2 linked regions of the Danio rerio genome follow. The protein of the gene in region 1 interacts with the protein of each later gene in a pairwise test. Links are inferred from orthologs where the notes say so. Each region holds a gene or a part of one and is shown in the gene's direction. Other genes may lie near its edges.

What was found.
Region 2: the proteins of tex11 (region 1) and necab2 interact in binary tests that used the Homo sapiens proteins (3 or more experiments, as listed by UniProt). The two-hybrid records come from large-scale screens. The link is inferred for Danio rerio from reciprocal best matches to the Homo sapiens genes TEX11 and NECAB2.

What each region holds. Positions count from the first base shown.
Region 1 is NC_133189.1:37,599,643-37,603,468, forward strand, and holds part of tex11 (testis-expressed protein 11), read left to right. Parts: intron 1-252; coding exon 253-332; intron 333-505; coding exon 506-586; intron 587-1,063; coding exon 1,064-1,180; intron 1,181-1,252; coding exon 1,253-1,333; intron 1,334-1,429; coding exon 1,430-1,515; intron 1,516-2,211; coding exon 2,212-2,269; intron 2,270-2,503; coding exon 2,504-2,599; intron 2,600-2,700; coding exon 2,701-2,782; intron 2,783-2,865; coding exon 2,866-2,944; intron 2,945-3,039; coding exon 3,040-3,191; intron 3,192-3,826. UniProt on the Homo sapiens protein: Regulator of crossing-over during meiosis. Involved in initiation and/or maintenance of chromosome synapsis and formation of crossovers.
Region 2 is NC_133193.1:23,004,047-23,008,664, forward strand, and holds the end of necab2 (N-terminal EF-hand calcium-binding protein 2), read left to right. Parts: intron 1-1,058; coding exon 1,059-1,150; intron 1,151-3,331; coding exon 3,332-3,360; 3' UTR 3,361-4,035; downstream 4,036-4,618. UniProt on the Homo sapiens protein: May act as a signaling scaffold protein that senses intracellular calcium.

The sequences.
Region 1 (3,826 bases):
CAGTACAATTTGTGACTTTTACACAAGAAACCTTAGATGCATTTAGCATTTTAGGATAGGTTCATGGCATCTAAACAGTTGTAAACCCCTGTATTACAGTTTTTGGGTGCCAATCAATCTTTGTTTTCTATCACTGACAGAGATATAGTTAATATCCTTGAATACAAACAAATAAAAATGTTAAAGTGTATCCCAGATGTTTACATAGATGTCAATTATTTAATTATTTAATACTCTACAAATTTGTTTTAGTGCGTCATGTGGCATGCAGACTTCTGTATTCATGCGGGCCTGAGAACCCATCAGAGAGTATCGTGCGCAAGCAAATACTGGTTAGTGAAAAATTATTTCCAGCAGTCTTGTTTATTAGCTTGTACTAATTTGACATTCACACAGAAGTCAGTAATAAAGTGGTTCATGCATATGCACAGTACATTTGTTTATTTCCATCCCTTGTGCATGCTCCTTGCATATTTGACTGAAATCTTACTTGTTTGTTTCTCAGATGGCCAGTAAAACTGGGAGAACATGGCTCGATTGTAAAAACTCCAAGTCTGCGGATGCTTTTTTGAGCATGGCTGTCAATGTATGTATGAATTCATTGAAAAAAACAGACAATATTGGCGGAACAAGAAAAAATTGCATATAATAAATAAATATATAATGCTATTGTGTGGTGGAATATTGATAAGTACCCATAATTATTTTTCACATTTTGGTAGTGTACTTACTGTAGGGTGTTTTGGGTTGACTTTTCCAATACTATTTAAAACTTGGTTACTCTCTGAACCCAGCCCGTCTCGTTGTAAATTTATTATTTATTTAATGCTTTTTCTGGATAAATTTTACATCCATAAATGAAAAAAAATAAATTCTAAGTAACTCCTTTTTTATTTTCAGAAACGATTTTGATAATATGTGAACTAGGGCTGCAGGATGCTATTAAAATTTTCTACAGTTCTGCAGTCTTTGTAAATATTTTTTTCTTGCATCGAAATAAATAAGACACAATAATATTGACGTAATACATGAATAAGAAACCACAAATATGCTACTTTTACAGAGCCTGGAGACTCTTTACAGCAGACTAACATCCCATGGAGATGGAGAAGATATGAACACACCAAAGGGCGACATAGAGAAAGACCTGTTGCGGATTTTGTCTTATCAGGCAGAATCTGTTAGTAGAGATTGCTTAGCATGTGCAAATGTGTGTATTTTTTTATATGCAAGTTTATTTTTGCTTTTATAGGCAGTATCTCAAGAGCAACACCAAGTGGCAGTGTCATGCATACAGCGATGTAAAGAAATCCTTCTACGCCTCCCTAAAGAGGTGGACAAAGTGGTGCAATTTTTAAATTCTGATTTAAGAGAGCGAAAATTTATAGTATAAATGGAAATAATGCTGCCTCTGTGAAATCCTGTTTAGACTGGCTATCTCTCCCTCATCTGTTACAACTTTGGGGTTGACACTTACAGTCAGGGAAAGCATGAAGAGAGCACATTTTGGCTTAGGTAAGGATCTCTGTAATAATATAATAAATATACTAAATAATAAACTCTCTGGTTTTCTCCCACAGTCCAAAAAACATGCATCATTAGTGAATTGATTAATCTAAATTAGCACTTTAGTAGAGCTCTTAACCAGCTGTATATCTCTCTCTATATAACAATTTTAATCTGTCATCAGCTCTAAATAAGGGGAAGTTCTTGAGACTAACCTGAGCTTAAACTCCCCTCTCGCTCTAATGGGAGAAAGCCCAAGGCTCAAGGACATTGACCTCAGGGCTTTCTCCTGGGGCAGCATGCCAAACTTGCTTCATAAATTAATCATCAGCTAAGTGTTAACTTGGTAAAAATAATCTGATTTGGTGTTCACGAAAAATTTCTTAATGTTTTTGTGGACGCTGTGATATCCGTTTTCATGAGGATTATTTAAATAGAAAGTTCAAATGAACAGCATTCATTTAAACAGAAGTATTTTATAACTCTTTAATTGTCCTTGCGGTCACATCTTCAATTTAATTACTAATTTTTTATAAAAATATTAAAAGGTCTTCCAAAGAAAGACCCAAAACTGACCCAAAACTTTTGTGCAATATTGCCACAACATTAGTGTTGTTATGATAGCTATTTGCACTATAAGGACATTTCCCATGTGTTGAAAGTTTTTTTTTCTTCTGGTTAACACATTCTTAATCTGCATTGCAGCCAAAGTTATGATATAGGCAAGATGAACATGAAGTATTCACCAGGATCAGAGATGCAAGTAAGAAACATTAGATGTGACTGAAATTAATAGACTTGGTGGAATTGGACTTTTCTGATTTGAATTGTTTATTAGTATAATTCTGGGCAGAATAGTTTAGAGTTCACATTCATTTTTTTACACCTGTCTGTTTATTTCCATGCTTAAATTAGATTTTGAATCTCAGATATTTATTGTGGTCTCCGACTGTTTTTGTATTAAATGAATGCGTTGTCTAATTTCTTATTCTTCCAGGCCAAAGTCTTGAGGCTTCTTGCAACAGTTTATTTGGAGTGGGACCACCAGAAGTATCTAGAAAAAGCTCTTCAGGCTGTGAGCTTGGCAAATAAGGTAAAGTATCCCTAGTTCAGCTATTTTTTATTAAAGTAGATGATCAGATTAAACTGTAGCACAGCTTTGTTTTATTACATCATGTTTGTTATTTTTTTCAGGAGCACATGCAGTTGTCAGGTCTTTACTTGAAGATCCGTATCCTAGTGAAAGGCTGTAGCCCAGATGAAGCAGTAAAATCCGGTGAGCCATGTTATTTCACAAAAAAAAAAAAAAATTACTCCACAAATGTTGTCCTAAACATGTTGCTTTCCCTGTCCTGTCAGGACTGTCAGAGCTGCTGGACTGTGAGGTTCCACTGGAAGTGTGTTTGAGCACAGTAAAGCTGCTTGTAGAAGAGAACAGGTATGACCTTTCATGTTTCTAAACAGGCACAAAAACATCCTGAGATCTGTAGTTGAAAGAGACATTACAGAGGCACTGACATGTTGTTGTTTCAGGGAGGCTTTGGCCTTTGACTTCCTGAAGCGAGTGTGTCAGCATTTTGAGTCGTCTCCTGAACTGGGCTCTGCTCTGCTCATGCATATAGAGCTGCTGCTGCAGCGGGACAAAGAGCTGCTGGCCAAGCAGAAGATCGAGGATGCTATTACTGGTGCTCAAAAGTATTTTGTTATTATGTGAAGCAACCGAGTCATTGTTATTTTATAGTTTTAAGCAAGAGTGCATTTCATGTCATTATACTGTATGAAACATGTGACCCTTCACACAATGTTTTCTCTGTTAAACAAGTCATAGTGCTCCCACTATTTACTTCTGTGATTCCCTGGAAAACACTTAATATTTTCATCTTGGTTTCAAATAGAAGCAAACACTGGGACACAATGAGAAGGCTCAGTTGAACTGTATTTAATTGTTTAATTGGTAACACTTTAATTGAAAAAGTGTTTATAAGACTGTCATTAAACCTTTATAATCAACATAATATATATATAAACAACTGTCATTAAGTGTCATTCACTCAGTTATGGTGTTTTAAACAAATACATAAACAAATACATCACAATCTGTTTTTGTCATGACAACTTGATATTACCAAGACAACAAAACTTGTCATAAACCTGTCGTAAACATGATTGTCATGAAGCCGTTATTATTGTCATAAATTTATTGTAGCGTCGTTAATTATATATTTTTTTATCTCAACTACAGTGATACAAGCTGAGTTTGTCTTTAAAATGTCATTAAAAATTAATGACACTGTTAAACTTGTTTAATGAGACATTTTAA
Region 2 (4,618 bases), on another chromosome or scaffold:
CTGACTCTTGAAGGGAATGGGAGATGAGACTCTGATTGGTTTAATGCACATTATGCTCAAAACACACCGATAACTCATTAAGAGAATAAGCACAACACTGTTAGACCATGCGCCAAGGTGCAGAGCGAATTTTTCTATCCATTAAATATCCTTTAAAAGTGCATTCAGACACGCGCTTAATGCTTTTGCACCATGCGCTTTAGATTTTGTGCCTAGATCATTAAAATGGAGCTCTTAAAGTCCATGTGACCTGGAATTTGTTAAGACTTTTATTTATGTATGTTGATGTACTTCCAACTGAAACTGGATATTAAGTAGGGGGTGAAGTTTTTTTATTGCTCATCATCCCCTTGTAGAAAAGGGGTGTGATTAAAAAAATATCAAACTGACATCAACAGAGAACCGCCACTCCTAATGTGGAAGCAACATGTCAGATTTTGAATGAAGATTAACAAAACTAAACTAAACTAAACTAAACTAAAAATCTGTGAATTAACTTGCAAAATGATTGACTACAGTAATTTTGCAATTATTAGAGTACTAGTAGACTTTCTGCTAGCACTTTATTTTGATACTCCTTCAAAACATTAAATACAAGTAACTTTGCAAGTACAGTACAGGGCAAGTAAAGTTATAGTTTACTATAATTATTGATATTTGTGATTAACATTCAATTTCATCTCATTAGGCCACTTTTTTGTCAAGACTTTCCCTTAAATTTTATCATGCTTTACATTATTTTTAAGACCATCTTTGTGATATTATGTTATGGAATGAACAAACACATTAACATAGTTTACTACTTGTTAAGTATGAAGCTTAAGACATTTTATTTTAAAAAAAAGGTCATGCTATTGTTGAAAATTGCATCTTAAAACCAGAAGTAAATGGGGCGCTAGTTGACTAGAAGATACAAAGTCAACAGAATTTATAAATGGTCTAGTTCTGTTCAGAATCTATTTAGCTGCAAAGTCACATGTACAGTATTTTATTGATGCTGCTTTGCATCTGAAGACTGATTATAATGCTGGAACTGTGTCGCTTGATTTCCCTCTCAGGCATCTTCTGACTGCAGCCTGCAAGGCGTTCCAGCATGTGAAAGTGGATACTCTGTGTCAGCCTGAGGCGGTGTCCACTGTCGCTGTGCCCGGTGTGTTCTTCTGTCTGCTATAGAGGCTGCTGTGGGCATTAGAGCCAAACCAGTCTTTGATGCTGCTTGTTTTGCATGTATTGTGTAGTCTAGAGGAGGGATGTCCTTACATTTCACAGCTATTATGAATTCCTACTTGCCCTGCAGGATTACTCTCATTTTCAGCATGTCTGTCCTCTGACAGTCTCTGCATTTGGAGCTTCTGTATTGCAAACACTCTTGCGCTCATTCCAGCTCTATTACAAAATAGAAATACTGAAAGAAAAAAAAACACTCAAGAGCCTGCATACATTTGAAGTCAGAATTATTAGCCCCACTTTGATTTTTTTCTTTTTCTTTTTTAGATATTTCCCAAATGATGTTTGACAGAGCAAGGAAGTGTTCACAGCATGTCTGATAATATTTTTTCTTCTGGAGAAAGTCTTATTTGTTTTATTTCGGCTAGAATAAAAGTAGTTTTTTTTTTAAGGTCAAAATTATTAGCCCCTTTAAGCAAACATTTTTTGATAGTCTACAAAACAAACCATCATTATACAATAACTTGCCTAATTACCCGAACCTGACTAGTTTACCTAATTAACCTAGTTAAGCCTTTAAATGTCACTTCAAGCTGTATAGAAGTGTCTTGAAAAATATCTAGCCAAATAGTATTTACTATCATGGTGGCAAAGATAAAATAAATCAGTTATTAGAAATTAGTTATTAAAACTATCATGTTTAGAAATGTTGAAAAAAAAATTGTCTCTCCGTTAAACAGAAATTGGGGAAAAAATAAACAGGGAGGCTAATAATTCTGACTTCAACTGTAGTTGTAAAAAGGACATATAAACTTAAATAGGCACACAAATGGTGCTGAGCAGTAATTTGTAATTAAATTGTAGCATATTTGATATTTTATTCTGTCATTTAGACAATGGCAGATAAAAAAATTGTAAGTTACTAATTTTTCCTAATTCTAGATGTCACTTTTTCATTTAAAAATACAAAATATGTTACAATTTGTATGCATTTGGACAGTTATGTACACAATGGCAAACTATTTAGTTGTTTATTGATTTTTACTAATTGTAGATATCTCTTTTTAATTAAAAATACAATAAAATTGGCCTTTTTTATACAGTGAGAAAGTTATGTACACAGTGGCAGGCTATTTTGTCGTTTACGGATTTAATTTTTTTTTCTAGGTGTTACGATGTTACGCTTTGAATAAAAAAAATAGAATAGAAATGCCATAATTTCAGCATTTTAAAAACAAGTTTAGTATAATAGATTACAATAAATATTTTTATACAAGTGCATATGCATTTACATTAAATATGCTTATATTCGTTATTTAAAGTAATAATGTGGAAGTTGTGTAGTTTAGAACTACTGTTATTAAAAACTAAAATTGATATGATCTATAGACCCTTTTCACAAGACTGTTATGATGTGTTTAACAATCATCATAATCTTAAATCCTTGAATCCTTTTAAATATTTAGATTAAAAAAACGTTTATACATTAATATGCATTTATGAATATTTTATATAATCTTTGTGTCAAATTACAAAAAACTCAGTCTCACGCAATTTTTTCTTTTTTTGAAAGTCTTGATAACACCATTGTTGAGTTTTTCTTTTATTATTTCAGCTAATAGGACTATAAAAAATATTATTTGTACTCTCACTGCGCTCTACGTTTACCTAACCATGATGCCTTATGGAAATGTGAAAAGGGTCCATTATTAAAACTTATTAAAATTATTTGTTTACATACTGTTATATATAATTAACACTATAATTATTTATAATGAATTTATTATAAATAGTTGACCTTAAAGTATGTGTGTGTATAAATCTATGTCTGTGTGTCTATGTGCAAGTGGCTGCCTGTGCTGAGTGTGCTTTTAGTAAGTGCATTGATTCTCTTTCAAATGTTTCATTACACGTTCCAGGGCTAACCAAATCTATCTGTATGTCTCTCTGAATGTGAAGCGATCAGAGCAGCCTACAGTTTACAGTGCTTTGCATAACCGCAAAACTATAAGCTTGTCTAGAATGTGTTTACAGAAATTTGTCAACCGCTATACAAAGAATTTTACTGTCTTTCATTACTTTAATAATGACACTGACTCTCTGTCTCTCTCTCTCTCTCTCTCTCTCTCTCTCTCTCTCTCGCTCACTCTTTTACTCTTTCTAGCCGCCTGGTGCAGCCTGAACAGGGACTGAGAAGTGTGCCAGTCTGCGGGTGGGACGTCCCGCTTATTGCCTGAAACCCCTCTCTTCTCTCTATCTTTCTGTCACAGTCTCTGCTTTCTTACCTCCTCTTTCTCTCTGCTCCCCCACTCCGTCTCCTCTTTTGTAATTACTTGTTTACACAGTATCCATTTAATATTGAGCCAAAAGTAGTGTCTCCAGACACAGTTCCCTCTTCACATCCACTGCAACACACAGAAACCCACATCAAAACTCCCACCGCATTCGGGAAGCTCACTTTTGCACCTAAAACATCACCTTACATGAACAGTCTCTACTAACCAAAAGAGGCCGATTAATATTTCATCCCAATTCAAGCACGCATCCGCTGCTTTGCAGACAGTTCCCTGCGGTACAACTTCTGAGAAGACAAAAACTGTGCAGCAAAGTATTTCTAAAGCTGTCCATGGACACTAGCATTTCTGTAAAGGCTGTTTAATACTAGGTATAGGTTGGTCTATTAAGTACTTTGGACTGTATCTTCATGAATTGTTTGTGTAACGCACTGAGCCATGTAGAAGGACTGGTGCTTCTGTCAAAACCGTGAGCATGACCAATACTGCCAGTCAAGGGGCCTACATTTACAACACATCCAAATCAACATCCGCTCCAAAAAGCACAATGTTCCTGAACGAGGAATGAAATGCTTGTATAAATGAGATTCGCTGACGAAGAGAACATCATTTTATGTTGATCACTCTTGAGAGGGAATATATAGATGTGGGACGAGTGCTTAAATTAAAAGAGTGGCATTGACTTAAAGGGATAGTTCATCCAAAAATGTATTTTACACTATTTACTCGTCCTGAGTAGTAGATATTTTGAAGAAAGATACCGTAGATATATACACTAGAAATTGCATATGGACCCTGTGCATGCGTCAATAGTGCCGCCAAATTTGTACAGTGCTCTCAGGACAAAAGTCATTCAACCGCACTAGTCAAGACCAAAGCCAATCTGATGATGCTGGACTTTTGTGCTGCAAACAGGTTTAGTAACGAGCAAAGAAAGAAAACAAAGCATAAAGGCAGAACATTTCATAGATAAGATGTTGTTTTGTATGTTACGAACTTTTGGGCTAAACAAGTCACGTTATTGATGATTATACAGTCACTTACTGCACAGACCATAAGCGCAAAGTAGCACCAACTCACACTAAATTCTAGGCGTATAATGAATAAAATCAGCAGACAATGTAAAAGAAATATGACAACCAGATGCTGCGGTGCCA